Alligator mississippiensis: one gene and its partners. The protein of the gene in region 2 purifies or fractionates together with the protein of the main gene of each other region. This does not show direct contact. Links are inferred from orthologs where the notes say so. Each region holds a gene or a part of one and is shown on either strand. Other genes may lie near its edges.

Region 1 (10,375 bases), on a different chromosome or scaffold from region 2:
CGCTTCAACACAACAGCATATGCTAGAAGCATTGACATAGGAGCACCTACACCAGGTGTTTTGCTGACAGAGCTACATGAGCCAGAGAAGTCCAATGCTTTTACAACCTCAAGCCTGCAGAACTGTCAGCAAATTCTGTGGTACAGACCTGGCCTGGACATCTCTGGTGAGAAATCACTTTGGTTCATTGTGCAGACACAGGACAGTCACACGATAAGAGATACAAAGAAAATGTAAAACCTAAGCAAGTTTTCCATTACAACAGCAGAGTAGGCAATTCCATTACAATCTGGCATGGTTTTCAAGGTTTTAATATGAAAACATTAGGGGAGAAAGACTGCAACTTCAACACAGCAGAAACATTCAATAAAACGTTTTTGTCAGGTACCTAACAGATTCTCCATTAGAGGATTAATTTGACAAAAGACATTTTTACCACCTGCTCAAAGCTGATCATAAAAAATCCTAGAAGTTTGATAAATTGGCATTAATTTGATACAGTCTGATAGCATTTTAAGTTGTTATATTAATCACCATAGCATCTGGAATTTTTTCTCGACAGTGCCAATTCTGTTATCTATTCTGATCAAGAAGCGCTCTTTTTTTAAGTTACTGTAAGCATTTATAATCAACCTGCTTGCTCAAATTCATCTGAAATTTGTTGCACGAGGGGAGTGTCATATAATGCTAATGATTCAAACTGGGGGTCAGTTAAGTAAAAGGGTCCTGCAATACCATCCCATCTGAAAACAGCATTTTACAAAAATCACTAGTTTTTCAAACATTTTGTGTACACAGAACGTTCAAACTAGGGCCCTGACTCTCCCCAAACTCATCTCAGTCAGTCTAATCTCAATGAATGGCTATAAACAGCCCTGAGGGGAGACAAGTATAGTTTTTTAACTCCAGGTCTTTACCAAGCTGACACCCTTAAGAGTGAAATGCATGCATGCAGCTAGACTATTTACAGGCAGGCTATTGCCACAGAAACTGGGCAGCTCAAAATGACCCACATTTCCTTTTGAAAGTTTTTCCCCAAAACAAAAAACTGTCTTTCAACTACATTAAAGGGTTGCTGTGAATTCTAAGCAAACTCACAAAAGTGAGAAGCATGTAAAGAAAGTGAGAACTAATGACAGAAAATATAAAAAAAAATAAAGCAGGGCAACAATTTTGGCTCATGCTCTTCATCCATTTGCTGTATTGCTGTATTGCCTGACTGCAATAGGAAAAGAGCAAATCTCAGTGGCAGTTGGTCAAAAAGTTCCTCAGGCCTAATCGTCCAATGTAAACGAATTGTAACATTTTCAGATTCTTGGGGCTTTTCTGGTGCATGCTTTGGAAGTATGGGCAAAAGGGTTAGGATCAAAACAGGGAGCGGGAACAACAGCTGTGGGAGCAATGTCAAAAGCGTGGAGGCAGTTTCTTTGCCAACCTTTGCCTCTTCAGGCTGTGCTCCGGCACTGCTACTGAGGGACAAGCAAACCCTTAAACAGTAACTATTATAAGTTCAATATCCTAAAGATCACTTATAATTTGGATATACAAGGACAGTAATCAGAGCTCTGTCAAAGAGCAGTGTTTCCATAGAATTATCTTCCCTATAAACCCTCAATGATTAAGGGGTCACCCTCAAAAGGACCTTTACTCTCTAGGAGCTCAGCTCTGTGAAAAGGAATGACAGCTGGGCCCCTTTCCTTCTAGTGACTTTTCTTCCTCACAAGCCTGTCAAGCCATCTCTCTCTCCTTCTTCCTCCTCCCTCAAACATATACCCACGTATCCTCCCTATAGCTTCTGCACCAGACCATGGGAGGGCCCTTTCCCTCCACTGCTCCCTAATCAACAATAAGAGCCCAAAACTGCCCACCTTCTTCTGCTGCCACCAACAATGGGGAGGGAGAAGAGAAAAAAAAAAGGCCTTAGGCCGACCTCCTTTTCCACCTCAAGAAAGTTCCAACAAGGCAAACTTGATCCCTCAACATCTGCATCACATCACAACCGTTCCAACCAAGCTCTTCACCCTTAAATACAGCAACACCACACACTGGCTGCAGCTGCAGTGCATACTGGAATTTATCTTTGTCAAACATGAGCAATAAATATCACTCACATCTCTTACTAAGCCACTCTTACTGACCCCTTCCAAGTGGCTGTGCAGGCTACGTAACAGAAAGGCAGAGAAGACACCTTAGCTGTGTAATGCTTGGTTTTCAGTAATTCTGAGCATGGCTGTACCATGCCAATGTTTTTGGAAGGGTATGATGCACTGCAAGACAACCACAACTCTGCACTGGCCAAGAGTCTCTATTAATGATTTTTTATGTGATTTTATTAGGTTAGTATTGATGACTTATCAAAACAGTGATCTACTATTAACACTTCCGAAACTGATGCAAAATGATTCACCTAACACAGGGGCAGGCAATTATTTTGGGCGAAGGGCCGCTTACTGAGTTTTGGCAAGCCATCGAGGGCCACTTGACAGGCAGCCAGGGGCAGATAAATATTAATTTTCTAAATCTTTTATGGGCCCCGTGGGCCAGACAGAATGGCCTGGCAGGCTGCATCTGGCCCACAGGCTGCATTTTGCCCGCCCCTGATCTAAGAGGACTCTGACCCCCATCTTTTTCAGCATTTATTATTGTCTTCTTCTCTGCTTTAAAGACTTCTGGCTGTTGCTTGCCTTATCACTTCTACCCACATCAAAGCAAAAAGAAAGCAACCTGACCATTCGCAAGCTCTTTACCTGTAAATGTGGAGGCCCCATTGGTGGAGGAATCCCTCCCGGAGGTGGCATTGGAGGCATGTTCGGATCAAACGGAGGACGTCCAAAGGGCGGCCGAGGTGGCGGAGGTGGACCGCGCATCATACCGAAAGGTGGAGGTGGACGCATAAGAGGTGGCGGGCCTCTCATAACGGCATTTGGTGGCGGAGCTGGACCACGAAATCTCAGTGCCTGCTGCTGAGCCATTCTGTGTCAGGGCAGAAGGAAAAAATATATTTTTGTTTGCTGAATAACTATGGGATGGTCTAAAAATCGTGTGCTGCTTGTATAAAAAGTGAAATTAGAAAAACCAAAAGGATGTGACAAATTTAACACTCAGCGACCAGGATTTAAAGTGCAAGTGCTTTAAGAGTTTCCCCACCCTGGTCTCACCATTTCAGGTTCACTACTCTTGTGTATAATTTTCTTTTTTAGTCAGAAAAACAAGTAACATATGGATCGGACGATTTCAGAAGGAGCAGGTGCTGTGCAAGCTTCCCTCAAACCGATCTGCCAAGCACCTCAAACGTGACCTGCTATATACCCATGCCTATAAACACGCGCATCCTGGGCTCTTCGAACAACAGCTGCCAATTGCACCCAGGGTTTTATTTCTTTTGTAACGTGAACAAGCATCCACCAGGGACTCGGACGAGACCACCTACATCCTTTTCACTCGTGACCCAAGGCAGGAGTCAAGCCCTGATGTGAAGCAGCAAAGGGCTGAGGTGCTAAACCCGCGGTGCCACCCAGCCCAGTACGCAGGTACCTTAATAAGTGCACAGATAGAGGAAAAAAAACAACGTTCACCTTTGCAACCAACAAACGCTCTTCTGACGCTCTCAGGAAAACAATTGTGCCCACCATTTAGTGCCAGTGCAATACCGACGTTGGCACGGAGACTCAAAAAAATAAAAATAATCTAAAAAAACCAGAGGTTACAATAAGGCGCACGGCAACACGCACCGATTACACCGCGTCTGATTTCAGTTCGTCGAGCACACACGGTACGTTATCGGACGGACGGCGGTGCTCTCCCCTACCCTGCGGGTCTTTCAGAAGAGGGCAGACGAGCACCTGGCCGGGGCTGTCCCGGCCCAGCGCTTTCTCCCGCCCGGGGCAGGGGGTCGGACTCGATCTACCAAGATCCCTTCCAACCCGAAAAAAATCAATTAAAAGAAACTCTAGCTGAGTGGCGGAGTTGAGGCGATGGCCGGAAGCGGGGCCCGAGGCAGCATCGCCCCAAGCCCCAGCCAGGCCCGGCGGGGGAGGGGGAGAGGGAGGGGAAGGGGGCAGGGCCCGGGAGGCCACCTCCCCCGAGCGCCCAACGGCCGCGGGACCGGGGGGAGGGGGGAGGAGCGCGGAGCCCCTCAACGCGGCGCTACCTGATCTCGTTGTTGTAGCGCTCCGCCGCCGCCGCCGCCGCGTCCCCCTCGCCACCTCCACCCGCGCCGCCGCCGCGCTCCGCCATCGCAACCTCGCCAGCCCCAGCGCCGCCGCCGCCGCCGCGCAGGCCCCACCGCGCTCCCATTGGCTGGCGGAGCCGTCACTCGCCGCGCGCGGGGGCGGGACCGACAGGGATTGGCCCGCGCGCCCGCCGACTTTGAATGAGGGGAGGCCGACGAGCGGTGATTGGCTGAACCCCACCGCCTCACGGCCTCCGCGACCTCGCGTCACGTGGCGGGTGACCTCGGGACGCGGCGGAACTGAGCTCACGTCCCGCGTCAACCAATCCGAGGTAAGGGGAAAGGAAAGAACCCGCGCTCCTCCAGGCCCGGCGACTGGGATTGGAACCAATCAAAGATCAGAAGGCGGCCAATCAAAAACCGGCGTGATCAGGAATTCCTAACCAATCCCGGGAAGGCACGAGTTCCGGGCCGCCGCCCCACCCCCCAGAGCCTGGCCGCCTGCCAGCCCGGCAGGAAACGAAGTTCTAATTCGGTAGCCAATGAGGGGCTGTTTGGATAGGTGCCAGCCAATCAGGCCGCGTTCGGTGATGCTGAGTTCCATCATAAGGCCGGGGTGTTGCGTGGCTCGTGTTTCTACGTTCTAAAGCCTGGGGCTGAGCGGGCGGCGGCACGTGGGTTGGGACCGACCCAGGAGCCGCCTCTGGCTCCTTTCAAGGCACGGCCTGTGCCCTGCCGCATACCCCCCACCCCCATTAGATAGATGGGTGTAATCTATTTTATTTATTTATTGGGAATATATATAAAAAATTCTCCTCCTAAGAGCATAGTGGCCACTAATGTGTTGAAATTTATTCCCAGATTGCAGGGGTTGTCTTTGCCTACATGGGACAGGCACAACTTGGTTAGTTTAGCTGTGTGGTAACAAGTCTTACGAGAAACAAGCTAATAGTTGAGGTAAGGAATGTTGCCTACCATCAATTGAAAGTGATAGGCTGTAGCAAATCCTTGTGCACTGGCATTGCTGAGCCCTGAAAACAGGAATTGTCCAGACAAAATTAGATCTTCAGAGGTGTCAAAAACATCCCTAGACAATTTACTGGGTATTGCGTGAGTTAACTGATCCAGGGCCCCTGGTACTGACATTTTGCCAATAGGAACCAAAAAAGTTGTTAAATATAGCAATGAAATCACCAAGGTGGCAACATTGCCATGCACAACCACTCACTAACTCCACTGGCTGCGTTAGCGTAAGCAGAAGTTTGCCCACACAGCAAGGCGCTATGCTAAAAGTGTCCAACTGGGCAAACTGGAATCCTGTAACTTTCACAATGGGACAACTTATGTGGAAATAAACACTTCCAATTCTCTACAGTCTCGTTCTGAAGAAAGCCTATTTATAAAACAGTTGTTTTTCCCAATATCCATCAGGTCATACTTCTCCCCACCATTTGGCCCCTAATTTTCACTGAGCCAGGCCCTGAGTGACTGGTGTTTTTGTGAGAGTCCAAAACCCCATTATTATATGGCAGAGATTTTCAAAATCGCCTTGAAACATCATTTAAGGTTAGGCTAGTCAAAGATTTTAATAAAGTTAACAATTACAAGAAATATTTAAGTAGAACTGGGCCTTAGCTGCAAACCGGGGATGTATCACTAAAGGTGCAATAGCACCTCGGAGCCTACATCATTAATGAGTCATGGACCAAGAGCTCCTTGTAGGCTTTTTACAAAACTGGTATAAAAAAAGAGACCATCCTTTTTTCCAAAGACCATAAATAAAAGTTTCCTTAAAGTTCTAGGAAATGGGATTACCTAAGACTTCTTTCCAGTTTACCAGCTGGGTCTATTCTGCACTTTGCTTCTGTCCCAGCCAGAGACGGCTTGTCGGTCTGCTAACTTTGGGAAGGGCTCTAACAGAGGGGTGTGGTGGTGAGGGGAGATTGCTTAGGGAAGGGAGAATTTTGAGTCATGACTCCTTCAGATTTTGCTTCAATATCTTTGCCTTTGCTTTTCATGCACAGTATAGATGTCAAAGATGACATGCTACTTTGCTGAAGGTTTATCTGGATACAAAATATACAAGGTTCCTTCCATACAAGCTCTTTGCAATTCTCCTTTCATTCACTAGGAGATCCCCTTGAACAGCAGTAGTGTGAAATGATCTCAAGTTTCAGTCTGTTCAGGTGCTGAAAAACTTCAGGGCCCTGGTTTTGATTTAACATGTATGTTAGGAATCATAATAAATACATTCTTAGAAATATGGTTCCACTTTTATGTCATCCTTCATTTAAAGTTCCCAAATTGCATTATAGATATTAATTAAACCTTGTAATGCCCACGTGAGGTGGATGTTTTTATATCCATTATTAAATTACCTTAACCTTAGGCAGCTTTTACAGCCTGTCTCCACCTTATTACTAAACCAGGCATCAGATCAGGCTTCAGAAGTTTTTCTTGGCAACCATGGATACTAGAAGAATAATTAGAATATTTAAAATCAGAAATGAGAAAGTAAGAGGTGTGTAGGTGGTAACAAATAAGCATGTCATGCTAGGTGTTATCTATTGCTTTTTATATAGACTGAAAATTCCCATGGGACAAAAATCAGTATCCTAGAGAGATGCCTGAACCAAAACTCACTTCATCCAAGTAGCCTTATGCTTTGAGGTGGTCAGATCATCTTGGGCCTATCTGATGTGCAGTAACATTACTGGTGATATAAGTAGCAGAGTGTAGGGATTGCTATGGTAGGCAGTGATAAATGGACTTAACTAGGAATTAAACAGGCAATGTCTCAAATGAGAACATTCAAGAACAAAGACACAACAGTATAGCATCGGAAAATTCTGTGCCAGGGCACAGGCTTTTCACCTCTTGGGGAAACTTGGGTCATTTCAGTGAGGTCTGATGCTTAGAACAGAAGACAATTTAGGCTATAGAAATCCTGCCTTGGTGTGGTGGCTAAAACCCAGCATGTTACCCTGTGTCTACAAGGTCCCTCTTTCCCACTATGTCCTATTTACAGCTCCCAGTCATTTGGATTATTAGGATGTAAGATTCTTTCCTATGTGGCCTGACGTGTAAAATTTCTAACTGGAAAAAATATTTCCCCAGCTCCTTTGATGTTGCTAATGAATGAGCTCTTTTTAAGTTATTCTTATGGCTGATAATTGTACAGTAGCTTCTGGGCAAAAGTGTCAGTAATGTGGGCATGTAGACTGGCCACTAGCATCAAATATTCATGCAGTCACAGATGGGAGTCTACAGTGAGTTTGCACAGAAGTGGAGTCTGTCTCACTTGCTCTTTGGTGAATGTATCTAAGCATCAAAAAGAACTTGTGATTTGCTTTTTCAGCTACATTTTATTAAAATATAAAAAAAGGAAGAAGTCCTTTTGCCAACTGGCATTTTGTGCAGAAATAAGTTAAGCAACTCAGAAAGCAAGCATCAGCCATCCCTCTCATCACACCAGACTGCAACTGGCCTCTGAGTGGATGCATAAAGTTGGAAGAAAGGCTACAAAGAAGTTTGCCTCCTGCCCCTAAATGTTATGGTCCAAGGGCAGGGAACTGCCAGTATTAGAGCCACTGCAGCAGTGCTCCTCTAGCAGTATTAGCTATTCCTACAAGGAACAGAGAGAAGGCAGGGCATGGCCTCTAGGCTGGCTCCACTCTGAGGAGCAAAGCTGGTGGGAATTAAAAATGCATCTTCTTCCTGTGCCTGGTTGCATGGGAGGCATTGCATTCTTAAGTCCAGGGAATTGTTCCTTAGGCTGGGTCTACATTACAGACTTTGTACTAGTATAACTACGTCTGTCAGGGATGTGAAAAAGTATGATGTGGTGACACATGACTGCTGGTAGAAACCCCTTTTTAGCAGTTTAGCCTGTTTTGCTCATGAGAATGGGTTACTGTATGGTTCAAACAGTAGAGCTTCATGCTCATAAGGAGTGCTCATTCAGTTTAGTGTACGGATATTTTCATACCAGTGTGGATTTGGCCTTACTTGGGTCCCTACTTCAGGAGAAAGTGACAGTGTCTGCTGATAACTCATGCTGCAATCTTGCCTGCAGCTTGAATTTCTGCAAATGTATAGCTTCCTCCAGCACCACTTAGTGGCTAAATACAGAATTGCAGATTCCCATAAGGTTGAATGTGGAAATTCTGCCGTGCTGATTGGTTTGTTCTGTCTCCTGATAGCACCTCACTTCCTGAAAGCCAGAAGATGTTAAGGTGCCTTCCTGCCTTCATGGTTACAGTCAAACACACATGAGTTATGTGGGCAAAACATCACAGAGAGACAGGTGAACAGGACTCCTGTGCTAAAGCCAACATAGAATAGGGCAGAAGGCCAATGAAAGACCGTAATAAGATGTTGCACCTCCTTATTCATTGGGGCTTTGAAATTATTAATTGAATGGATGCCACATGGTGTTGTGAAAGAAATTCAATCTAAGTTTTAAGGAATTTTTAATAAAATACCATTTTTGGTACATGACCTTGTCCTCACTTTTAGTTAAACCCAGCAAGAGAAAGACCACTTCACTCCATGAAGATGATAGAGAGAGCATGTTATATTGCTTCTGCATCACTGGTGGGTGCATAGGCTGGAAGGACCAACATGAGGGTAACAGTCTGTAGGCATGTTGGCAGAACCTTCCACACCAGTGAGGAGAAGGAAATCAGTGGTAGAAGGAATACAAAGCTGTTACAAAATGTGGTCCATTTACATTTGTCATTTATTGCATAGTGTATTGTTGGCCCCTCTTGTCTATTTGGCATTTAAGTTCTTCGGGTCAGCTTACGTCTTCCTCTTTATTTGTACAGCACCTAGCTTATTGTGGGGTAATGCACAGAATAAACAAGAACAACAAATCTGGATTGATTCTTGGTCATTGCACTAAGTTTACAAGCTGCTGTTTACATGCCACTGTCATAGCAAGAAAAGCCTAACTGGGCATGAATTTATCTAAACTACTAAAGATACTCTTAACAAGGAACAAGAATACATGGATAATCCATTCAGAAGAACTTTAAATTCACACCCTAGCTATTTCCAACTAATTCACTGTGTAGAGAAACCCACAGTTCAGAGAAAGGAAGAAGAATGCAGATCAGCATATAGCTACCTTACAAACTGTGGCCAAACAGCCAGTCGTTTTCAGAACCAGCATAATAACCCATTGATACCGCCCATTTGTCTCCCTGCTGGAAAACAGCTGCCTGTGTTTTGGTAGTGCAGCGCAGTTATAAATACTGTCCTTCTTTCCATCCCAAATTCTGTCATAGAAGGCAATGAATCAGCCACCCTGAATAAGATACTGGCATGCTGAGCAAGTTAGGCAAGAAGTAGGTTTCCCAGGAGACTCTGCCATCAGGATTGCCTGAGGATGCAAAGGATGCAGTTGGCTTTCTGGCTGCTACCAGGTCCATGGAATGTGCCCCGTGACTGAAGCAATGTACTTGGGGAATTGGTGCATCGCATGCTGCCTTATGCAGGAACTAGGAGTAGGCTGAGCCTGAGGCAAACCACGTCGACTTGGCAGAATTCCTCCTTTAGCCTCATGTTGGCTTGTCAGGCTCATCATCCAAGAACGGTTAAGCAAACGATTAGCATGGTGCCCAGGCCACCTGCCCTCACTATATTCTATTAGATTCTTCCTTTTAGAGTAAATCATTTTTTTGTTGAACCAGTATAATTGGGAGAATTAAAATCTTGAACCTTTACAGTCCTGTAATGTTAAAAGCTTATGAGTTCAGATGCCTCTTTCCTCCATCCTCACTCCCTTCCTTTCTTCAAGATGTTTAAATCAACTGAGCCATTTTCACTGCAGACAAGAGCAAAGCCCCTTAACGTACTCAGAATTTTGGATACTTTTTGTAACCAAATTCTTACTAAAATGGCAGGCAGTTGATACTGGGAATGCTCTAAAATGCCTGCAGATGGTTTGCTTTATCGGATACATTCCACCAATATTGATCAGGTATCAAGGACAGATCTAGATGCTGCTGCTACTTGGCCAAACATCTATTTTATCTCTGAAAAAAGGAGAGAAGTCTCAAAGCAGTGAGGAAAGCTCCATAATGCATGTGTGGGGAAGAAGGGGAAGTAAAGGCTTTTCTACAAAAATGAAGAGCATGTAAAAGTCTCTCTCTTCTCCTTTCCCTCCTTGCTTCTTTCACCATCAGCCCTCTACACTCT
Region 2 (10,265 bases):
GCTGGCAAGGCAGCAGAAGGGCAGTCAGCAGCCAAGATGGTTGGCTCCCCAGGACCTCTCTGCCAATCAGCTACTAGGGGCAGGGCTGTAGGGAAATGCCTGCAAAATCAGGTCTTTGAGCCACAACCAAGCCATGAAAATTCCTTTGCCCGGGCACAAGTTAAGTAGGTCTCTATTTATGTTCTCTAGCACTCTAACCAGTATTTGACAATAAATAGATTCCCATGCTAAAACAATCCAGCACTTTATTTGGTTAATATCTTGTCCATTAGTTACCAAAGTATCAGATGATTCTGTGGAAGGGGAAAAAATGTAGAAAAACCTGTCTACAGAGAAACACTTAAAAGTTAGTAGTCAGCACAATTTTTATGCCTTAGGGCACACTAGATACACCAGTGGTAGGCAATCTTTTCCAGCTCTGGGCTGGAATAACCCACCTTGAATCACAGTCAGGCAGGTCTGCAGCTGGCTTCTCCCCACAGCAGTACACAGAGAAACACCCATGGTCCCCACTGCCAAAGCCCCACATCTGCTGACCACATCCAGACTGCAGGCCACACATTGCTGACCCCTGATATGCAGCATTTTTATTTCCCTCTCTGTACAGAAATGTTTAATGCTTTTTTGACTCCTACAAGGCCCTCGGCCTCTGCAATATCTTGTGACACTGAGTTCTACAGATTAATTATGTATTGTTTAAAGTAGTATTTATCTTTAGCACTTTAATTTATTTCCTCTTCCATTTGATTAACCCAACCGCTTGTTCTTGTATCATATGGAACGCAAGCACAAGTGCCCTATTCAACTAACACAAAGAAAGTCTCATGGACCCAGAGGAACAGACATACACCTTCAGCTTCCTCCATACAAAATTAAGTTTACTGTCTACCTATAAGGACTTTAACCATTTTTTATTTTCCTTCAGCCTGACGAAGGGCGTGTGTGCCTGAAAGCTTACAAAGAAAGATGATTTTTTTGTGATTTCTTAGTTGGTCTAATAAAAGGTATCATCTCTGAACCAAGAGTTCTAGAGTTTTGTGTTCCATTCACCTCCTTGGTATTTCTCTTTTTTTCTATATTTTCCCTCTATTGCAGGGCTGACAAGCCACGTGGGGTCCTCAAGACCCCAGTTGCACAAGTAGGGCAGCCCAGGCAGAGCAGAGCAGCACAAGCACCCTTCCCCATCACCACATGAGTAGCACACATGCCACATGAGTATCATAAGGCTTCCCCCACCCACACTGCCAGCAAGGTTGGGCAATGCAAACTCCCCTTTGCCCCGAGTTGCTGTCATGTTAGCAGCACCAACCCCCACCGCACCACTGTCCTGTGGGCAACACAGTAGCTTCCCTCCACCTCCCCTGCCACCTAAGCCCTTCCACTGCACCAGATGCAAGCTAATCAGGGCTCCTCCCAACGTGCTGCCCTGACCTAGTAAAGGCTGCCTACACTGAACCTCCGCAAAGTGCTCCCCACCAAAACTACAGGCTAGAATCCACATCATCTAGCCCCTTTGTCACACTGACTTGAAAGGCTACATTTGACCAGATAGATAACTTTCCTTTACAAAAGCTATTCTGATTTGCTTTCATATTAAGGACTTAAGTAGCTGTTACAGTCGATTACTATTTTGACTTATCTACTCAGAAGTTATACCAATGACTCATCTACAGTTCCCAGGATGATCCCCAGGATTCTCTTAAAATAAGTACACGTATTTCTTTCCAATTCTCCCAATGCTAGTAATAACTTTTAATGGAAGACTGCACACTTCTATTAGCAGAGCAATCCACAAGTTCCCTCAGAACTTCTGGATCTATACTATCTGCTCCTGCTGACTTGCTGCTCCATGATGCATTCTAACACCTCTTGTTAGCGCATCTCAATATCTGACTTATTTATCTGTTTATTAATAAACAGATGAAGTATGAAACTAGTATTTCCCCAGTATCTGCTGCTGTAAAGAAGAAAGCAGCCATCTAGCTTTTCTCTAGATAGATTTTACTCTCAATTGCTCCCTCAACTCCCAGAACACCTAAAAAGATTCTCCTGAACCTTCAATTTTGTATCTGATACACTTGAAAGCATATATACTCTTTGCTTTTTCCATCCCTTTTTAGTTCTTCTAATCCCTATATTTCACTGACCTATTATACACTCCTTTCTTCACTTATTTTCCATTTTGAAAGAGACAGTGGTTTATTTGGAATGACTTCATGCACCTTGCTATATGGCCATACTTCCCTGAATTAAAAAGGGAAATGTTTTCCTTCTGCACACGTAAGCATACTTCAAGTCAATCTGTCATTTGTCCCTCCAGAACAACAACTGTTGAAAAACATTCCACACTCTCATGGAAAAAAGCCACAAACAGTTAAAAGGAAATCAACACAAGCCCTACAACTACAGAACAGCAGCCTCAAATAAAGCATATTATTCTACTAGGTTCAGCTGACTGAGCAGAAAAAGCGGGTTGCACAGCAGCGCTGAACTTATGACACTATTCCCTTTGAAAAAATCAGACAAGGCAACTAAATACATGTTTTAAGCTTAAAGATCCCTCGTTAAGAATGTTTCAGCAACTGTTGAAGAACCTGTAACAAGAAAACCCAAACCTACTTTATTGGGAGTAAATCAAGCTCTTTTCCTGTAATGTAGCATTAATTATATATTTTTTTCCTTTCTAAGTGAATTGGTTATCCAAGAGAAATACAACACTGAGCTCAGTATATAAGACCCAGGGTTCCCATCAGCATATTTACGAGATTTGTAGCAAATGCACCAGTATATAGCACTCTGATTGTTAAAAAGGAAAAAGCCATGTCACATGCAGCAGCAGCCAAGATGTGATACAACAGAATGTTTTTAAACAAATGGAGGGAGACCTCAATAAACCAAAAGCAGATAGTCTCTAATTCCCAGGGGTGGCTGCATTCTACCAGAAAGCAAAGTTGTAACTGCACCTACATGAAAATTTATGGCAACAGAAATCAGCTGTTGATAAGAACCCTATTCTCAAGGTTTCCTCGGTGATGCAACCCATCCAGCCACCCTCCCAATTTTTATGCCACAATTTTAAGGATCTGCCTACACCAGTGGTGCTCAACCTCTGAACCACAGGCCAAATGTGGCCTTGCAGAGCCATCACATTTGGCCCACAGAGCTCCCCATGGATACAGAAATTTAGTGGTGAAACAGAAATGGCCACCCCCCCCCCCCCGCTGCCAAATTTCCATGGCCCCTTCCCTCAACACAGCCAAATCTGGGGTGCGCCATGCCTCCTTCTCCCCACCTCAGGGTTGGGTCTGGGCCACACTCCCTACCTCGCCCACCCACCTGAGTCAGGGTTGGGTCATGCCCCACCCCGGCTGAATTGGGGTTGGGACACACCTACTGCTCCTATCTTTTGCAGCTGGGTTGGGGGCAGGTCGTAACCCCTTCCTCACTGTCCTTACATGCCCCCACAGGACTGGATTGGGCAGGGCTGTTTCCTGGCCCCCTCTGTGCAGCTGGATGGAGCCACACCACACCTGCCCATGAACAGACCAAGTAAGGCCCATCTGGCCCACCAAGGGAAAAAGCTGAGCACCACTAGTCAAAGATATGACTGCAGCTCATGTAGCTGTATCTGTACTGGCTTTAAGCTAGCCACCTCACATGCCAAAAAACAGTGCAACCCTGACAGCGCAGAGTTCAATGCAGATGCAAAATCTACCCACAAAGTTAGGTAAATAGGAGATGGATCCCTGCTGGCAGCTTAAAGCCTGCATTGGTATGTTTACATGAGCAGTAGTCACACCCGGGGCTGCTGCAGACACACCCTTACTGCCACAGCTGTCACCAAGAGCAAGAGGTGAGGCTGGACAGCATGAGGACAGGAGAGCCCCAATCCTTCTGCCCCCTCTGCCTGCAGAAACAGTAGCCCCAAGTCACAGCAGCACTCCCGAGCCGGGGGGCAGCCGGGCCACCAGCAACTCACTGAACGTAGCGACCTCCAACCCGGGGCAGGAGCCCGCTTACCAAGGGTGTGTGCCTACGCCGGCCCCCTCCCGCCCGGGGCCGCCCCGGCCTGGCCGCCTCCAACCCCGGGCGGCCCCGGCGTCCGCCCCGCCCGGCCGAGCTCTGCCAACACGGGCAGCCCCGTCCCGCCCCCCGCTACCTGCGGCCCGTCAGCCCGGCCCGGCCCCGCCGCGTGTCGTGTCGGGCCCGAGCGCGCGGGCACGGCTCCTGCCTGCCCGGAGCTGGCTGGGACCTCTACGCGCATGCGCCGACCTTCGGCGCGTAGCTTCCGGCGCCGGCGCGCAGCCCGCTGGGACACGGGGCCCACTTCCGGCCGGGGAGGGTGGGGCGGAATAGGCGAGACCCTAGTAGCCACAGACTCCATACCTACTACGGCCGGGCGAGCCCACGGGACTACATCTCCCAGAGTGCAGCGCAACACGCCGTTCTCCTCTCCAACCCGTTTTCCAGCGCCAGGCCTTGGCGACTCAGGGCTCCCGCGCATGCGCGGCGGCGTCATTGACCGCCCGGCCCTGACCCGGGGTCTAGCGGCGGGGGCGGGGCCGCTGAGCCAGAACTGCTACCTGCGCCCCTCGTCACCGGGGGGGGGGGGGTGCGAGAATTACCGTATTTACACGAAAAGTTCTGGGGCTGAACGATAATTTTTGAGGCATCTCATTTATGCAAGAGATGCGAAACCCAAATTGTTCTTGGGGACTTGTAGCTGACTTTGCGGCTTGCCGTCAGCACTTTCTTATGATGTCTTGCCTCAAAGGAATGCATCAACTTTGATGATCCAGTTCCCACTCCTTCACAAGTATTTGTATACTTATTTGCATATTTGTTCAGTGTACGATAGTTTTGCAGCAAATGTGATCATTGTGAACTTCCAATGCGATAATTTCATATTTAAGACCTGACAACACTGCCCTCACGCCTGTCTTTGGCAGGGGCAACTGACATCATAGCGTATGGCGTCCTCTCTCAACAGCCTGGACTGCGTCGCATCCACTGGCTGCACGGCGGGTCACAGTGCCTGCCTGAAGCTGTGCGGCTCCTCTGGAGGAGGGGAGAGGGGCTGCAGTCCTTCCAAGGGGGAGGATGTTTTGCAAAGGACCTTCACAAAATCCTTGGCAAAAACGTGCACCTTGCATTTGCCTTTGCCTCAGGGGCACCAGTTGCCTGCAGCACGAGGGCTTCTGTCCTCTGCCATGAAGTGTTTCTGAGAGCGCTGCACAAGGAAGCAACACCAACATGGTTTAACTCAGTCTGGAACCATAGCGCTACAGGACTGCACCATGAAAGGGAGGTGCCCATGTGTACAAAAGAGGTGTGGGGTAAGTGTGACATAGTTAAGTTAGGCCCAACATGACACTTTTTTTAATTTCTCAAGTATTGTAAACTCTATCCTACAAATACCTTTTTAAAAAGTCCACCCAGATGAATCAGTGTTTTTTGACACTGTTCTTTGTGAAATCCCCCTCCCCTGACATCCTAGAACAGCAGGGGGAAAAGCTAAGGAAAAGGCAGAGGCAAGGAAAGGAGAAAAAGTACAACCCAGAGGACTCAGCAGTCTACAGAGCAGGAACTACAGGGCCCCAGGGACAGGGGGCTCTACAGCCGTTGCTCCAAGAAGGAAGAGAAGAGTGGCGTTTGTCAACTCCCTGCTGCAGCAGACAGAGGCACCAGCTTGACTACATTTGGGGTCCTGAGAAATGTGTGTCTGCCTCTGAATTCAGGATGTCACAGAGAGACTACCAAAGCTCATCTATCCTTTAGACCACAACCCTTTCCTGCCTGTCCTTGTAGATACCAACAACACTGCCAGGAGCAACAGTGAGCAGTGTCCTTTAAAGATTCCTGAGGCTCCTGGCATGAGACTGAGCACAAGTGATGTTTTCATTGATACTCCCTGGAAAGGCCCAGGAAGGGACCACCATGGAAATAAATGTGTGGTGAGATGGTGGTGTTGGCATGAAGGCTTCAGATTTTTTAACAATGGATGGATGTTCTGGGGAGGAGAACTGCTATCAAGTGATGGGGTCTGACTGACCAGAACGGGAAAGAGCATCTTGGGCATTGTCTGGCCAACCTAGTAAGGATGGCTTCAAATTAATTATGGGGGTGGTGATCAAAATCTTCCAGTAATAGAGCAAACGATCCAGAGGGGAAAAGACTGGAATAAGCAATTCAACTCTGGGAAAGGTGCCAGAGAGCCAAGGGACAGCAACAAGTGGTGCAAAAAAGAAGCAAGTACATCAAAATGCAAAATACATGTACACACATGCAGGAAGTGTGGGAAATAAAGAAGATGATCTGGAAGCTGTAGCCTGTGAAAGAAATATAACCTGATCGGTATCATAGAGACCCGATAGGACAGCTCTTATGACTGGAATATCACATTGAGGTTTGCAATTGCCACCAAAGTAAAATTGTAGCCTCTTGTTGGACTGGATAGTCTCCTTTAAACTCACCTGCCACAACTTAGATGGAAAAGGAAGGAACCAAAGATGGACACAGTCCTGTGAGACAAAGTTGGTGTTAAATCTACAATTTAGAAGACTGGCTCCTCTTCACAGGGCTCCCCTATTCCCATCCCCTGTCCTTACCACACCAAATGTTTCAGCAGTAATCTCATTAGGTCCCCTCTGTGGGAGCCTCAGTCTCTGGGTTGCCTTGACTGATTTCTAGGCAGCCGGTTTCTTGTTCTTGGTTGCTTGCCCCATTATTTCCCACACGGGTCCCAAGCAGACCATCATACAGCTTGTCCCTACCCTTATCCTTCAGGACACGATTATATTGGGCCAATGCCCCAAACTCATGTTCACGCTCGGTCTCTTCTTTCCCCTCCTTCATGTCTCTGGATTGCAGTCCCACACCCACCGGACTCAGACTCACTGGTTTGGATGCTCCAACGACCTCATCCTTCCTGCTCCGTGGGCAAGTACTTCTTCAAAATACTCTCCTGAGTCCCTTAGGTTGGTTGCATGCCACCATTGTCACTTTGTGGTCCCACGGGTCTCCCTCCATGCCATTCCCTTCACCCGAGGAGAGCTGACTGCTCAGTCGGCTCTCTTTTAAATTCCCGCACTGATCAGCTGTGTATTCAGCTTCAGTGTCCCATTCACTGCTTTGCTGGCTGTCACAGCTGATTGCTTTAATTACCATCTGGGAATTCCAGCATGACTTTTCTCCCATTCGGGCTCACCACTGCAGTAAGTTTAGCTTTTTCCTTTGTTCTTTTGGTGCTTTGTGACCGGGTAGGCTTACTACCCTGTGCCCTGGTTAGGGGGAACAAGACAGAAAAGTAGCATGCGTTTGGATGAACATGAAAGGTGAAAGATGCAGCACTGATATAATGATGGGGATTTATTACAAGCTCCCAAATCAGGAAGAGAAGATGAATGAGGCACTCTTCAAGGGGGTGATAAATCTATCCAAAAGCTATGGTATGGTACTGATGGGAGGCTTCAGTTTTCCAGACATCTGCTGGAGGCTGCAGTTTTCCAGACATCTTATTCGACCTGGAGGGATGTGGGCAGTGGCGTTCTGCAGGGCTCAGTCCTCAGGCCCGCACTATTCAACATCTTCATCAGCGACTTGGACAAAGGGGTAAAAAGCACCCTGTTCAAATTTGCAGATGACACTAAGATGTGGAGAGAAGTGGGCACGCTAGAAGGAATAGGCTGCAATTGGATCTGGACAGGCTACAGGGGTGGGCAGATGAGAACAGGATGGGTTTCAACACTGACAAGTGCAAGGTGCTGCACCTGGGGAGGAAGAACTAGCAGCAGACCTATATGCTGGGGAACTCCCTTCTCATCAGTGCAGAGGCAGAGAAGGATTTTGGCGTCATTATTGAGGCCAATATGAACATGGGCCGACAGTGTGGGGATGCGGTCAGGAAGGCCAACCATACCTTGTCATGCATCCACAAATTCATCTCAAGCAGGTCCAAGGAGGTGATCCTCCCCCTCTATGCGACACTGGTCAGGCTGCAGTTGGAGTGCTGCATCCAGTTCTGGGAACCGCACTTCAGGAGGGATGCAGACAACATGGAGAGGGACTGTCACGGCGGGGTCCTCGCGGAGGGCCGTGATCTCCTCAAGGTCCCTTGCTCCGTGTCAGGCCGGCCCAAGACACCCTCTAATTCTCGCCCGCCACGTCTTGTTGGTCAATATAATGTTGGGAGGCTGCCTTGTGTCTTCCCTGGGCACGGCTACTCGAGACCTCTGTCCCCGCGGTTCTTCCGGACCCCCTGGGGGTCTCCCGATACGGTGGGTGTTCCTTGGACACCCTAGCCTTATGGGCTATGTGTGGCTCCTACCAGCCCCTAATACCACGCCCCAAGCCTCGCAGATGTAATAGACGTTGTCCGGTCTGTACACCCGCTTCCCGGGCCTCCTCTCTAGTGTGGCCCACTCTGGGCTCCCTCTCTCATGCCCAGCCTCTTGCTGGAACTCTCATCTGGCCCACTCTGGGCCTCCCCTGCTGGTGTGGTTCCGCCCAGGGACTCTCTAGCGGGCCTCCGGTCCTATGGGCCAACCGCACGGGCACCCTCTCTGACCCTGGCTCACCGCGCTGCTACTCCCTGTCTTCTCGGGGCAACCGCAGCGCCCTGCCTCGGTCTGAGGGGTGTTACCGCACTAGCCTGCGGCCGGGCTCGCTATGCCCGTCTCGGGCTCCTCGATATGGCCCCGCTCTCTAGGGCTGCTCAGTATGGCGCTCCCCCTCTCTGGGGCTCGCCGTGCCCACACTGGGCTACTCAATAACGTACAATGGCGCTCCCCCTCTTTGGGGCTCGCCGTGCCCACTCTGGGCTACTCAATAATACCGCCCCTTTCCTGGGGCCGGGGTCTATGTTCCCCCACACGCAATCCGGGGTCTAGGTCCCTGTCCGCAACCTACGGGTTGCGCCCGCGACCCACTGGCCGCGCTCCTCGCCGCCAGCTGCTCACGCACTGGCATGCGAGCTGCGCCTTCCCTGGCGCTATGAAAATAATGCGCCCTCTTGGCGCTAGGGCACCCCACACTCTCTGGGGTCCCTGTGATTGAGGTTAACTGCTCCTCTCTGAGCTCCACTGAGCCCACAACTCTGCCCTGTAAATCTCAGGGCCTAGCGCGCCCTCACTGGCGCCGGGGTCTCACACTCCCCTGTGAGTCCCCGCTGAGGCCTCCTCCAACCCCTACAGCCTCACCCAAACCTCCGGGTGTAATATACAGAGCCAAACGTAAACTAGAGCCTCCTGGCTATAACACAAACATAAAGCCCCCTGGCTAACCATTGTGCCCAATCCTCTCAGGGCTATCATGAGCTGTACTTGCCCGTCGGGCTTCTCCCCATATCTCGGCCGAGGGAGCTCCTGCCTCTCCGGCTGCTGGCAGAGAACTGCCAGCCTGGCCTCAGCCCTGAGCTTTATAAGGGCCAGGCCCTGCCTCCTACAGGCAGCTGGTTCCCCTTGGTTGCTCCGGCAACCCGCAGCTGCGCTCATTACCTGAGCCAGCCTCAGCTGGGCTCGTTATGTCAGGCCAGGGCGCACTCACTCGCTCCCTGGCAGTTTCTCCTTTCCAGGAGCAGGGGCACCGAGGTGCCCTGTGACAGGGACCAAAGGAGGGCCACCTGCATGATCAGGGGTCAGCAGGGCAGGCCCTATGAGGAGAGGCTAAGGGGCCCGAACCTGTTCAGCCTCCACAGGAGAAGGCTATGGGGGGATCTAGTGGCCATTTACAAACTAGTCAGGTGGGACCAGCAGGCACTGGGGGAGTCCCTGTTCCCCAAGCACTACCAGGAGTGACTAGAAATAATGGTCACAAGCTTGGCAGAGGGTAGATTCAGGCTAGATATCAGGAGGCGCTACTTCACAGTCAGGGCAGCTAGGATCTGGAACCAACTTCCAAGAGAAGTGGTGCTGACTCCTATCCTGGGGGTCTTTAAGAGGAGGCTAGATGAACACCTGTCCAGGGTCATTTGACCCCAGTACTCTTTCCTGCCATGGCAGGGGGTTGGACTTGATGTTCTGCTCGGGTCCCTTCCAACCCTACCAACTATGAAACTATGCAACTATGAAACAACACAGTTAAACAATGTCCAGCTGGTTCCTAACTTGTGTGGAGGACAACTGTCTGTTCCAGAAGGCTGAGGATACAATTAGGGGCTCATCTACCTTGGATCTTGTCCTAAACAAAAGGGAAGAACTCATGGAAGATTCCAGATTCCTTTGGTGGGCATCTTGGAAGGAAGTGATCAGAATTCCAGATCCTGAGAT
Region 3 (10,068 bases), on a different chromosome or scaffold from region 2:
CTTTCAAATCAGCATGTTAGCTGAATCTTAATGAGCATTCAGAGTACAGCATCACTGAAAAACCATCCCAACTGCGCTAAAAATTGGAAGGGGTGGGGAGTACCAACTATCTGCTATCCACCCATCAAGATGGGGCTTAAGTATCCTAAGGCCAGTGACTACCAACTGAGCACATTTTTAAAAGTCAGATAGGCTTCTTGCAGATGTTAAAAAACCAAAACTAAAACCAAAAACAAATGGTGCTTTACTTTAAACTCAGTGCCCTCCCACACCAAGCCCAGTGCGTGCCCGGAAGAGGCAGCGTGTTAGTTGGACACAGCTCACCTGATCTCTGTATAGATCAAGTGCTTTAGTGTGGCTTTTTGGTGCTTTTAGCTAAAGCTGATTCAATCAGGTATTAGACTGGTCTAATAATTGGTCTAAGCACCTGGTTTATGCAGATGCTGTGGAGCCGGGTCAAACTAACGCACTGCTTCTTCCAGTAAAGCACGGTTTTGTTTTAACAACTGTAAGCAGCATAGTTATTTACTAGATTTCTCTTTTGGCATCTGAATTAAAGTTCTAGAGATTTCAGATCTTGGTGAAGATAATAATGGTTTAATCTCAGTATGCTTATCCTCAATGTTGTTCCTTCTCTAAATCTGATTTCACAAATATTTAAGTGGGGAAATTAGCTTCACCTCTATAAAATGCAGACCAGATCTGCTTACTTGATGCTTGCATACTGCCAGTCTGCCCACTCTACACCTCATCTGAGCCTCCAAGAGGACAGAGACTTGTTAATTTACAGCAGTGATTCTTTATCAGGGTGCTTTGAGATGCTTTCAGGGGTGCCACACAATGTTAGCACTGGTAGGTGTGCAAACATGATTCACAAGATAAGCCCAGGAATTTAAAATAGGAATCCACAGTGTTAAAAACACTGACTTACTGTGGTCTTTCTGAGTTCTTTGCAAGACAAGTTGCTGTTATTTTTCCAAAGTCAAAAAATGAGTGAAAACAAAGAGCTGGCATTTTCCAAAGGGTGCCCCAAGTCTAAAAAGGTTGAAAACCATTCATATACCATATCTCCCAAAATAGGCATGTCAGAACTCCTAAACTCTTGTGTCTTCTCCTAACCAAATATTTACTCCATTTTTTCCTTTGTACCAACCAAGCCAGCTGCCACCTTCACCATTGAAGTCATAAAATGTACATTTTAGATTTGTTATGCACTCTTCTAATCTGACAACCCCATGTTGCTGAGACATGGTTACGCATTTCAGAAACACTGCTTTATAGACCTTTTAATAGTCAGTTTCAATATTTTCAATTACTATGGAAAGCTAAAACTGGAGGGAACAACTATCCATTATCCAGGCTAGCATGATGGGAAGCACAACTTACCTTATCAAGTAGGCTTATACCAGCACTTATTTAGAAGGGTTAAAGCTGACTGAATTTCTAATTTAAGAGCCAATTCATAACCCAGAGAGTCCACTTCAGAAAGTACATAGTTAACAAATTGTTTAGCTGAAGTTCCTTCAATTATTTGTTTGCTTAAAGTGTTTTAAGGCATCCTTGGAAATAGTTAATACCAAATTCAGAAATGCCAAGGGACATCTTCTGATAAATGGTACTGTGTATTACACATACTGAGAAGCTTCTTAGTCTCTCACTGAAGATTACAGAATCTTCCTAGCAATTTTAGTTCTGAACTCATGACCTGCTATATTTTACCTCTGTACTGCACGCACTTTCCAAAGTAAATCTGAAGTAGCAAAACTCTCACCAAAAAACCCACCAAAACACCGAGTACTATATTATATTCATAACCTGTATGTCTAATAAAAGCCAACTGTCAGTTTTCTTTGCACATTTTAACATTCTACTTAATATTCAAGTATAGATATATGTTAACTGTGCATCAAAAATAACACCTTTTCTGTTCTGATTGAGGTTTATCTTAGTGTGCACTAAAAGCATCTTCAACAAAGATTTAACAACCATGTTACAATGAATCAGCCTCAAGTGGCAATTTTTAGTAGCAACAGAGTATATTTCTCATCTGTCATTTCTTTTAATACTCTGAGACTTCACTACACTGATGTTAATACCAAATCACTGTCTAACATCTGTAAATATATATCGAGAATAGTGCAGATCATTAATTGATCTTTTTGTTTTGCATTAAAAGTGATAACCAATTTTGAGGAGATGGCCCATTTTCCTCATCTGGAAGGAAGGTAACTGCCAGTGAATCCTCTTGGCTGTTACTATTACAATCCTCCTGGAGTGAAAGTTGAGTTTTTCCAGATGGTTCAGCTGAGACCCAGGAACAGGAAACTGAATGCAAGCTGCCTGCACGTAATACAGGTTACTGCTACCAAGCAGCCAGGTAAATTTATTCTTACTGAATAACATAGGTCATGCTCTGTTGCACATGTGGCGACAACGTCTCATCCTTTTTCCTCAAGTGCATATTTTCCTCTACAAAAAACAAAATACTCAATATTCAGTTGAAAGTGAGAGGCTGGCAGAAGCATCATGTGTCATAGTTTCCCTTAAAATATTCAAAACCTCTTTCTTATGCCTTTGTCAAAAAGTTTAAATTACCAAGTTGGGGGGGGGGGGGGGGGAATCAAAACTTTAGTGAATTCCAAGAGTCCAACCAGCATGTTGCCTAGTCGGTCTACAGATAAAGCATTCAGCGCTCGAGTAACACACCATATTGTTAAAGTTTCTACATCGCTACTGCCATGCATTCAGAATGTGTGAAAAAGCCATGCAAAGTTTATAAAGCAGATGGCACCACAAGCCACGATCAAGTTTTTATACAATTACTACATTCTCGATGGAGTTCAGTACGCAAGCCTGGTAAAGAGGCAGAAATCCTGCACATGCTCTTGTTCTCTCAAATTCCCCATTTCATCTGTACAAGTTCTGAATACAAGTATTTTGTCAACTTCAGGAGTGCTAACAGTTGAGTCAAGTGGGCAGAGTCAACGCACCCCTACGAACTGAATGAAAGTATTAAGTAGGAAGCAGTACCAAGGATGGCAAGGGAAACTCAGGTGTGATGCCAAGAACACGCTTTGGCAGCTGCAATTTCAAAAAAAGAAAACAAATAAATGAAGTGATCAGATTTTTTAAATCACTGCTCCACTTGCTAAACCCTGCGCCAGGCTGTTGTCAGCTCATAAGAGCAACTGAGCGTTCAGGGCCAGGCCCGTTTTCCCAGGTCTGTAGAAGGCGCTGTGTGGCAGCTCCTCTCTGTGCATCTGGGGCCCTTCCCCCTCTCTGCAGCAGCCTTACCCGGTGTAGAGAACGCGCCCCCTACTGACTCCAACCCTCATCTCTCCTCGCCACCGACTTGGCTGCGGTGCATTTTGGGTGGGGGCTGGTATTTTTCTTCCATGGCCAGATACCAGAAGCAACAATACAGATTGAATGCAAAGAAACAGGGGGGGGGGGAGAAAAGAGAGAAAAAAGAAAAAAAGGGACCACACACTTAGGTGCATTTATTCTTGCAAAGCCACGGCGCCTGCAAGCATCACCTGAGGCAATCTGAAGGGGGGCATGGGGGAGACCCTGCAGTGGCAGAGACAGAAAGCAGCATCGCGGGGCTTTATTTCCCCTGCCTTTGTCTGAGCAATGGGCTGCAGGAGGTGCAGCCCGGGATGGAGGGGGTGGCTGGCTGAACGTTACTCCATCTCCAGGCACCGGCCATGAATCGCGCCTTTTCCAGCAGGCAGCCCCGGCTCCATTCATTGCAGCGCTGTCCGGCCTCCCTCCCTCCCTCCCGCGCCCGGCCCGGCCGCCGAGCCCACCCCGCCGCCGCCGCCGCCGCAGCCCCGGCCATTCACGCCGCACTCGGGGCACCTCCACGCGGGCCCGGGCAGGGAAGTCTTTGCAACATGTGTGCGGAGGGGGGGGGGGGTGGGCTCGGACCCGCGCGCACCTACCTGGCTGGGGCGCTCCTCGGCGGCGCGGGGCGGGCGCGGCAGCAGCACCGCGGCGGGGGGCGGGGGTGCGCGGCGCTGCCTCCCTGGCGCCGCCCGGGTCCCTGGGCGGGCGGAGCGGAGCGGAGCGGAGAGGAGCCGGCGGCGCGGGGGAGACAAAGGGGGCGGCGGGCGGGCGGGAGGCGCGTGTCTGGGGGGGCGGCGGGCGGGCGGGCAGCGGGCGGCGGCCCCGGGCGGGGGTGTCGGGCGGGGGCGGGGGTCCCGGGCGCCCTGCAGACAATACAGCCGGGTCCCTCCTGCCCAGAACCTGCCCTGGCCAAGATGGCGGCCGAGAAAGAGCGGAAGTGACGCGAGACTCTCATTAGCATACGGGACTCATTGTCCGGCGGGAGGGGAGGGGGCCGCGCCCCGGGGGGGAGGGGGCCCGAGCCCCGATGGAGCGCGGCCCGCGCGGGCCCCATCCCCTCCCCGCGGCGCGGGCCCTTTAAGGCCGGGGTGGGGTGGGGGAGCGGGTTACATAACCCCGCCGGAGGTAGTGAGGGGGAAGGCAGGGGGATTCTCGCGAGAGAGGGGCGGCGGGATCTGCCCCGGCTCCGCTAGGAGGCGCCGCGCCCTGCGGCTTGGGCCGGAGAGGGAGTTGGCGCCTCGCGCTTATCCCTCCGCCGCGGCCGGGACTACATCCTGCCCAGAGGGGCCCCTCGCTCCGGGGCGGGAGCACGAGTCCGGCGCACACGGGCCACGTGACGCCCCACGTGACCCCGGCGGAGCGCGCACTCTCGTGCCGGGGCGCTGGTGTGCGGAGGAGGGGGGGGGCGCTGGTGTGCGCGCGCAGGCGGGGGGTGGGGCCGCCCTCACACCCGCTCCCCGCTCGAGGGCCCGGGCTGGGGGCCCAGCGCGCAGCACGTGGGGAGCCCGGCTGTGCCTCGTCCCTCACGAGGCGTGAGGGAGGAGGGACAGTCAAGAGTCCTTGTAGGGCCACAAGGATAGGGTGTTATTTCAGAGCTGTAGCGCCTGGCCGGCCGGCCGGCCCGCCCTCCCTCAGCACTGGGGCCCAAAGCTACAGGCCAGGTCACAAGGGACGAAAGGCCTCCATTCGTTTCAAAGTGCTGGCACGCTTTCACAAGGCAGAACAGCTTGGTCTGTCCCGCGCACCACGTGGCGGGGGATGTCAGTTTCCTGAAGCCCTCGGACCCCAAGGGAGCGACCCGACAAGTTCTTCGAATCGTCGTTGAAAACGTAGAAACGCTTGCCGGAAGTTACTTGTGCTTCACGAGTGTTAGGTCCCGTATTTTTTTTAAATGCCTCCAATTTTGCAAATGCTGACGTGGGGCGAGGTGGTTCCTGACTCGTTCAAGGAGGCGCGAGCTTTCGTAGGACGCAGCCGACTTTGTCAGATGCTATGGACGGACTTTTAAAAGACGTGGGGTACTAAATGAAAAGGAATAAAGCCATTTCAATATAAAGGACAGGGAAGGAGAGGAAGAGAGGAAGCTTTGCACAAAGAGTTATGTTCATGTTGAGATAGGTAGTAAATACTACAAACTTTACCTTGGTTAAGACTTTTTTTTTTAATTTAGATATTAGCAGTTACTCTGTCAATGACTGCAAATCATTCCAGAATTTAAACATGCATTTTCGCAGTAAATTCACTTTAGTGAACATAAGAAATAGTAAGTCATTAAAAGTATTTCCTTTATAACTGAACGAAAACACACAGGACTTATTTGTACCAACAAATTTGTTCATGCTGTTTACTGCTGTTGGGCTTCTAGAAAGGTGAGGTTGAGTTGGTCTCAATCGTGCAACCTGGCGATGCTTTTGCAACTTTTAAACAAAGTAAAATAGTGTTTTGACTTTTACATAACTTTAGTTTGCTTTGCAAGAGTACGTGTTTATAAAAACCCCTTATAGTGCACTATAAGGAAATACGATGAACAGTATTTATGATAAATGTAGATCAGTCAAGATCAGTTAGATGCAAACAGCTAACGGGCCGGGGCTGGACTCGATCTTCCAAGGTCCTTTCCAGCCATAATGTCTATGAAATCTATGAAACTTCACGTCCACTTAAGTGTATGTAAGAAGAAAAACAGATCTACAGAAGCTTTATGACATTTACGTTTTCCCTCTTTTTTTTTTTTTTTCTCTTACTCTTATACTCGATCCCATTTTGGCTATTACTTGCTGATATTGCAATACAACAGATGCTATTATTTTCCTAACTTGGCTCTAGCTGGTTAAAATTTTGGTTTTCCTTTTACAGCCAATTACAATCTTAGTAGTGGTTTGCTGTCTGCAACACATTTAATACAGTATTACTATTCACACAGTCTTTCCCCTCACCCCTAAAAGAAAAAAACAACAACTTTACATTAGATTGGCTATCAGAGAGGATTGTGGTAGAAGAATAACCTCTATGGCAGCTACCTGTTCTGAGCAGATGCTCCTAAGTAATGGTGATGATTTACATTGAACAGAAAAATACCTAACTGAAGAAAATGAATAGTAGTTACAGATAAATGCAATTGAAGTCGCCAAGCATTAATTTAGATTTGAGACAATCCTCGGGGTATTTGGGTGCATTTAGAAACTGGAGGGCTGAGAGGGATGTATCAGTAAACTAATTATGTTATGTGCCATTATGCTTAGGAACTGTAGGGAGATTATTACATGTAACATATAAATGGCTATTCTTTTATTTGTCAGTTGAAGTCATTCCTTAAAGTATAATAGTAACACTTCTCTTTCCAGGAATTTTGAATGGTATTCCTACCACATGGAAAAAAAATGAAGAAAAAAATCTGTGAGAGTATCAAAGAAAGTATGAGAGCACCAAAAGAGGAAAGCTTTGTAAATTCTGATATTCAGAAACTTTCTTAGAATCTGCATTAGTAATTATTTATGTAGCACTGCCAATGGATACAGCTTTTATAGCAAGTAAAATCCATAATAAAAACATGAAAAAAACGGAAAGTTCCTGGACCACAGAGCTTGCAGTCTGAAGGCACGTTTGTTTCAGAAAAGCATACAGGGAGAGCTGCGTGAACTGAAGAGGAGCAAGATTCATGAAACAAAGGAGGAAGCAATGGAAAGCAGAGGTAAGATTTTACAAATGCTTTAAAGGAAGCTGTTCCTCATGTTAATGGTAATATGAAAATGCAAGTGTGTATGAAGGAAAGAGTGTCTAGAGAAGCACAGCTCAGAACCGCAGAGTTGTGACCCAGGAGACATGAGCTTTCGAGGCTTGAAGTCATATTTGCATCACTTCTATTTTTGGGTATGGCTACCAGCCCTGAGCCTTCTCTAACTACTGTTGAGTTTCCCCCAGTCACCTGCAGGCCACTCTGGCAGCTCAGAACATCTGGAGGGCAAACATTCAGTTCTCTTTTCCCTGTCCTCCATATGCACCTATACTATGGACATTCCAGCTGTCATTCCAGTCCCCTGACTGCACTGGGGTTGTGTGGCTGAGCTCCTGGGCCAAGGCAGCAGGGTGCAGAGCCCCAGCCCGTCTCTGCCCTGTGGGGGACACATGCCCCCGTGCATTCCCCAGGGATGTGCATTGCTGCTGTGAACTGTGCCTCTTCCCCGCACCTCTGGACAGCCCACCCCTGCCCGGGGTCCCAGTCACCCCTACCCCTGCTTCTGCCCCACTCCCTCCCTCACCGTGGGGGCCTCGATCTCCTCCCAGTCCCTTCCCTCTCCCCCACCCCTTTCCCTACACTTAAATGTCTGGATTTTCCCAGCTGGTGAGGGCTGGATCAGGAGATCGCAAGTCGGAATTATTTTGACTTTGATATTCCAAGTCTCAGAATGGTTTTGCGACAGTTGGCATTACTGTCAATGGAAGAGATTGCTAGGTCTTGAGCTTAAGCTTTGATAGTTGCAGCAAAGAGCAAAGGCTGAATTTTTGTAATATTGTATAAGAAATAACACATGAGAGAGCTGGTCTTGCTTCCATTGAATTCAGTTGGAGTTTTCCTCCTAACTTCAGTGATAGAAACAGTGGGTCAAATGCTTAGCAAGGTGGAACAGAAGGAAGGAGGAGTCAAGGTTGACACTAAGGTTGCAACATGATTGGGAACATGAGTAATGGTGTTTAAGATGACCTGCAAAGATGGGAGAAGGAGAAGTAGAAAGGCCATCTCCCCATTTTTGACACTTTGTAAGGCAAAACAGCAAAGTTGACAAACATTTTTCCTCTGCTTGCTTTTTACATGAAGAAAACAGATGTTGTCCCCTGTTGGAAACTATGAGGTGAGGACCAGAGAACAATGAAATTATAGCATCACAAAGAAACTGAAAGTTGAGTAACAGACCAGACAAGCTGTTTAGTCAGGACTTGTCAAAACACAGAAGTCACATGAGCTTAACTAAAGGTGTGATGTTCTACCAACCTAGTCAAAGATTATAAAAAGTGCGCTGGTTTAATAACGGTGCAATATTTATTCTCCCCCTAGATTAAAAATAATAAAATGCCTATCCCTAGGCTTTCAGCACCCTAACATTAATTATATGATAAATGCAGTTACAATAAGAATTAAAATAATTGGTTTCACAGGAACTTATCCAGTCAATCAGCCTACCTGGTTCCTTCATTATAGCGGGACCATCCCTTCAGCCATGTTTAAAACATCTCTCATGCAGCTGTCTTTGGCAGTGTAGTCAGAAAGTCACCAAATTCACTCTTTCAGATCAAGGACCAGGGACTCGGAGAACTTCTCACCATTTTCCCCTTTCTTTTATAATGAAGAATACCAGCTCAGGTGCCCCTTATGACCACAGCAATGGCATTATGGCCTGACAAGAAAGGCAGTCCGTCAGATAGGGACACATGCAATTCTTCTACTTAGATCAATGAACAGTCAGTGTAGATCCCACAATAAATGTGCCAATTGCTCACAAGGAGGTGCTGTATTTTGTAACAGCTGTTGTTTTTTGCACCAGCTTCAGTCTCCAGCCAGTTTAAGGTGCATCCCATGCAAGCCGACAAAAAATGGAGGCCAGCTCTCTCGCAAACAGGTATCCCTAAAAGTCCAAAATGGCAGACTTTAGGGCTTCTGTGCCTTTTAAATCCATAGACAATCGTTAATCTTAATAAGGCTTAATATGTCAAGCATAGGCGCCAGGTATGTTGGGGCCCGAGGCGTTGGGAAGAGGGTAGGGTGACCACCCTGTCCCTAATTGGGCAGGACTGAGACAGTCCCAAAATGGGAACTGGTCCCAAGCTGCATGACTCCAGGCTGGCATTTGTCCCAGACTCCCAGTATCATGCAGGGATCCAGAGTTCCAGCCTGCAAGGAACTGTGGGGAGCAGGACGCAGGGGGCATCACATGCATGTGTGCATACATGCACGTGACCTGGGAATATAGCCTCAGGCAGCGGTGGAGAGCTGCTTCACCAGCTGCCTACAGGTAAGTCTGTGTGTGTGGGTGGGGAGGGAGGGGACACAGATTGAGGCCCCCATGGTGAGAAAGGGAGTAGAGCAGGGGTTGGGCCTGGGTACACTGCCCAGGCAGGCTGGTATATGGGGCCCAGGGACAGGGCAGGGCTCCCTGCTGCTGCACACACTCCCAGGGAGGGAGGAATGGTGGGGGTTCATGCCCCCCAGATTTGTGCACAGGGCAGGGGTGGATGCAGATGCAGGCTGTCTGCTCCCTGCCCTTTTGCCAGCTGCAGGCTTAGGGCTTCCTGCCTCACTGCCTTTCCCCTGGCATTTCTGCACCGATTTCATCACTATGGCAAGGTGGCCCCTGCTTGTCTGACAGTGGGTGCAGCAGCGTGGAGTTGTGCCCCCCGCTGCTGCTGTGGTCAGCAGGGGGCAACTCACCATGGTGGTGCAGTTGGTGTGGAGCTCCTGGGAGGAGGGCAGCAGGAGGGGGAGCTCCAAGCCTGCAGCGGGCAGCCTGCATCTGTCCCCACACCCTCATGGGCATCACTCAGCTCTGCTCCAGCCACCAGGGGGAGGGCATCATCTTAGGTAAAAGTAAAAGTCTGTACCTATGATGTCAAGTGCTAAGTCAAAGCAAGTTTCACATTGAAAAACTGGATAAAAAGTTACTTTCTATGGGGCTTAGCATCCAAGTTACATTTGAAAGAAGAGTTAAGTTCCTAACTTTGGTATTT

What was found.
Region 1: the proteins of KPNA1 (region 2) and TCERG1 purify together in Homo sapiens (co-immunoprecipitation; 3 studies listed by BioGRID and IntAct, with this or other methods). This does not show direct contact. The link is inferred for Alligator mississippiensis from reciprocal best matches to the Homo sapiens genes KPNA1 and TCERG1.
Region 3: the proteins of KPNA1 (region 2) and ADNP purify together in Homo sapiens (co-immunoprecipitation; 3 studies listed by BioGRID and IntAct, with this or other methods). This does not show direct contact. The link is inferred for Alligator mississippiensis from reciprocal best matches to the Homo sapiens genes KPNA1 and ADNP.

What each region holds. Positions count from the first base shown.
Region 1 is NC_081832.1:64,408,861-64,419,235, forward strand, and holds the start of TCERG1 (transcription elongation regulator 1), read right to left. Parts: upstream 4,259-10,375; 5' UTR 4,237-4,258; coding exon 4,151-4,236; intron 3,688-4,150; exon of another isoform or gene 3,576-3,687; intron 2,974-3,575; coding exon 2,748-2,973; intron 1-2,747. UniProt on the Homo sapiens protein: Transcription factor that binds RNA polymerase II and inhibits the elongation of transcripts from target promoters. Regulates transcription elongation in a TATA box-dependent manner.
Region 2 is NC_081824.1:238,041,016-238,051,280, reverse strand, and holds the start of KPNA1 (importin subunit alpha-5), read right to left. Parts: upstream 4,270-10,265; 5' UTR 4,160-4,269; intron 1-4,159. UniProt on the Homo sapiens protein: Functions in nuclear protein import as an adapter protein for nuclear receptor KPNB1. Binds specifically and directly to substrates containing either a simple or bipartite NLS motif.
Region 3 is NC_081832.1:12,680,022-12,690,089, reverse strand, and holds the start of ADNP (activity-dependent neuroprotector homeobox protein), read right to left. Parts: upstream 4,259-10,068; 5' UTR 3,945-4,258; intron 3,134-3,944; exon of another isoform or gene 2,951-3,133; intron 2,378-2,950; exon of another isoform or gene 2,177-2,377; intron 1-2,176.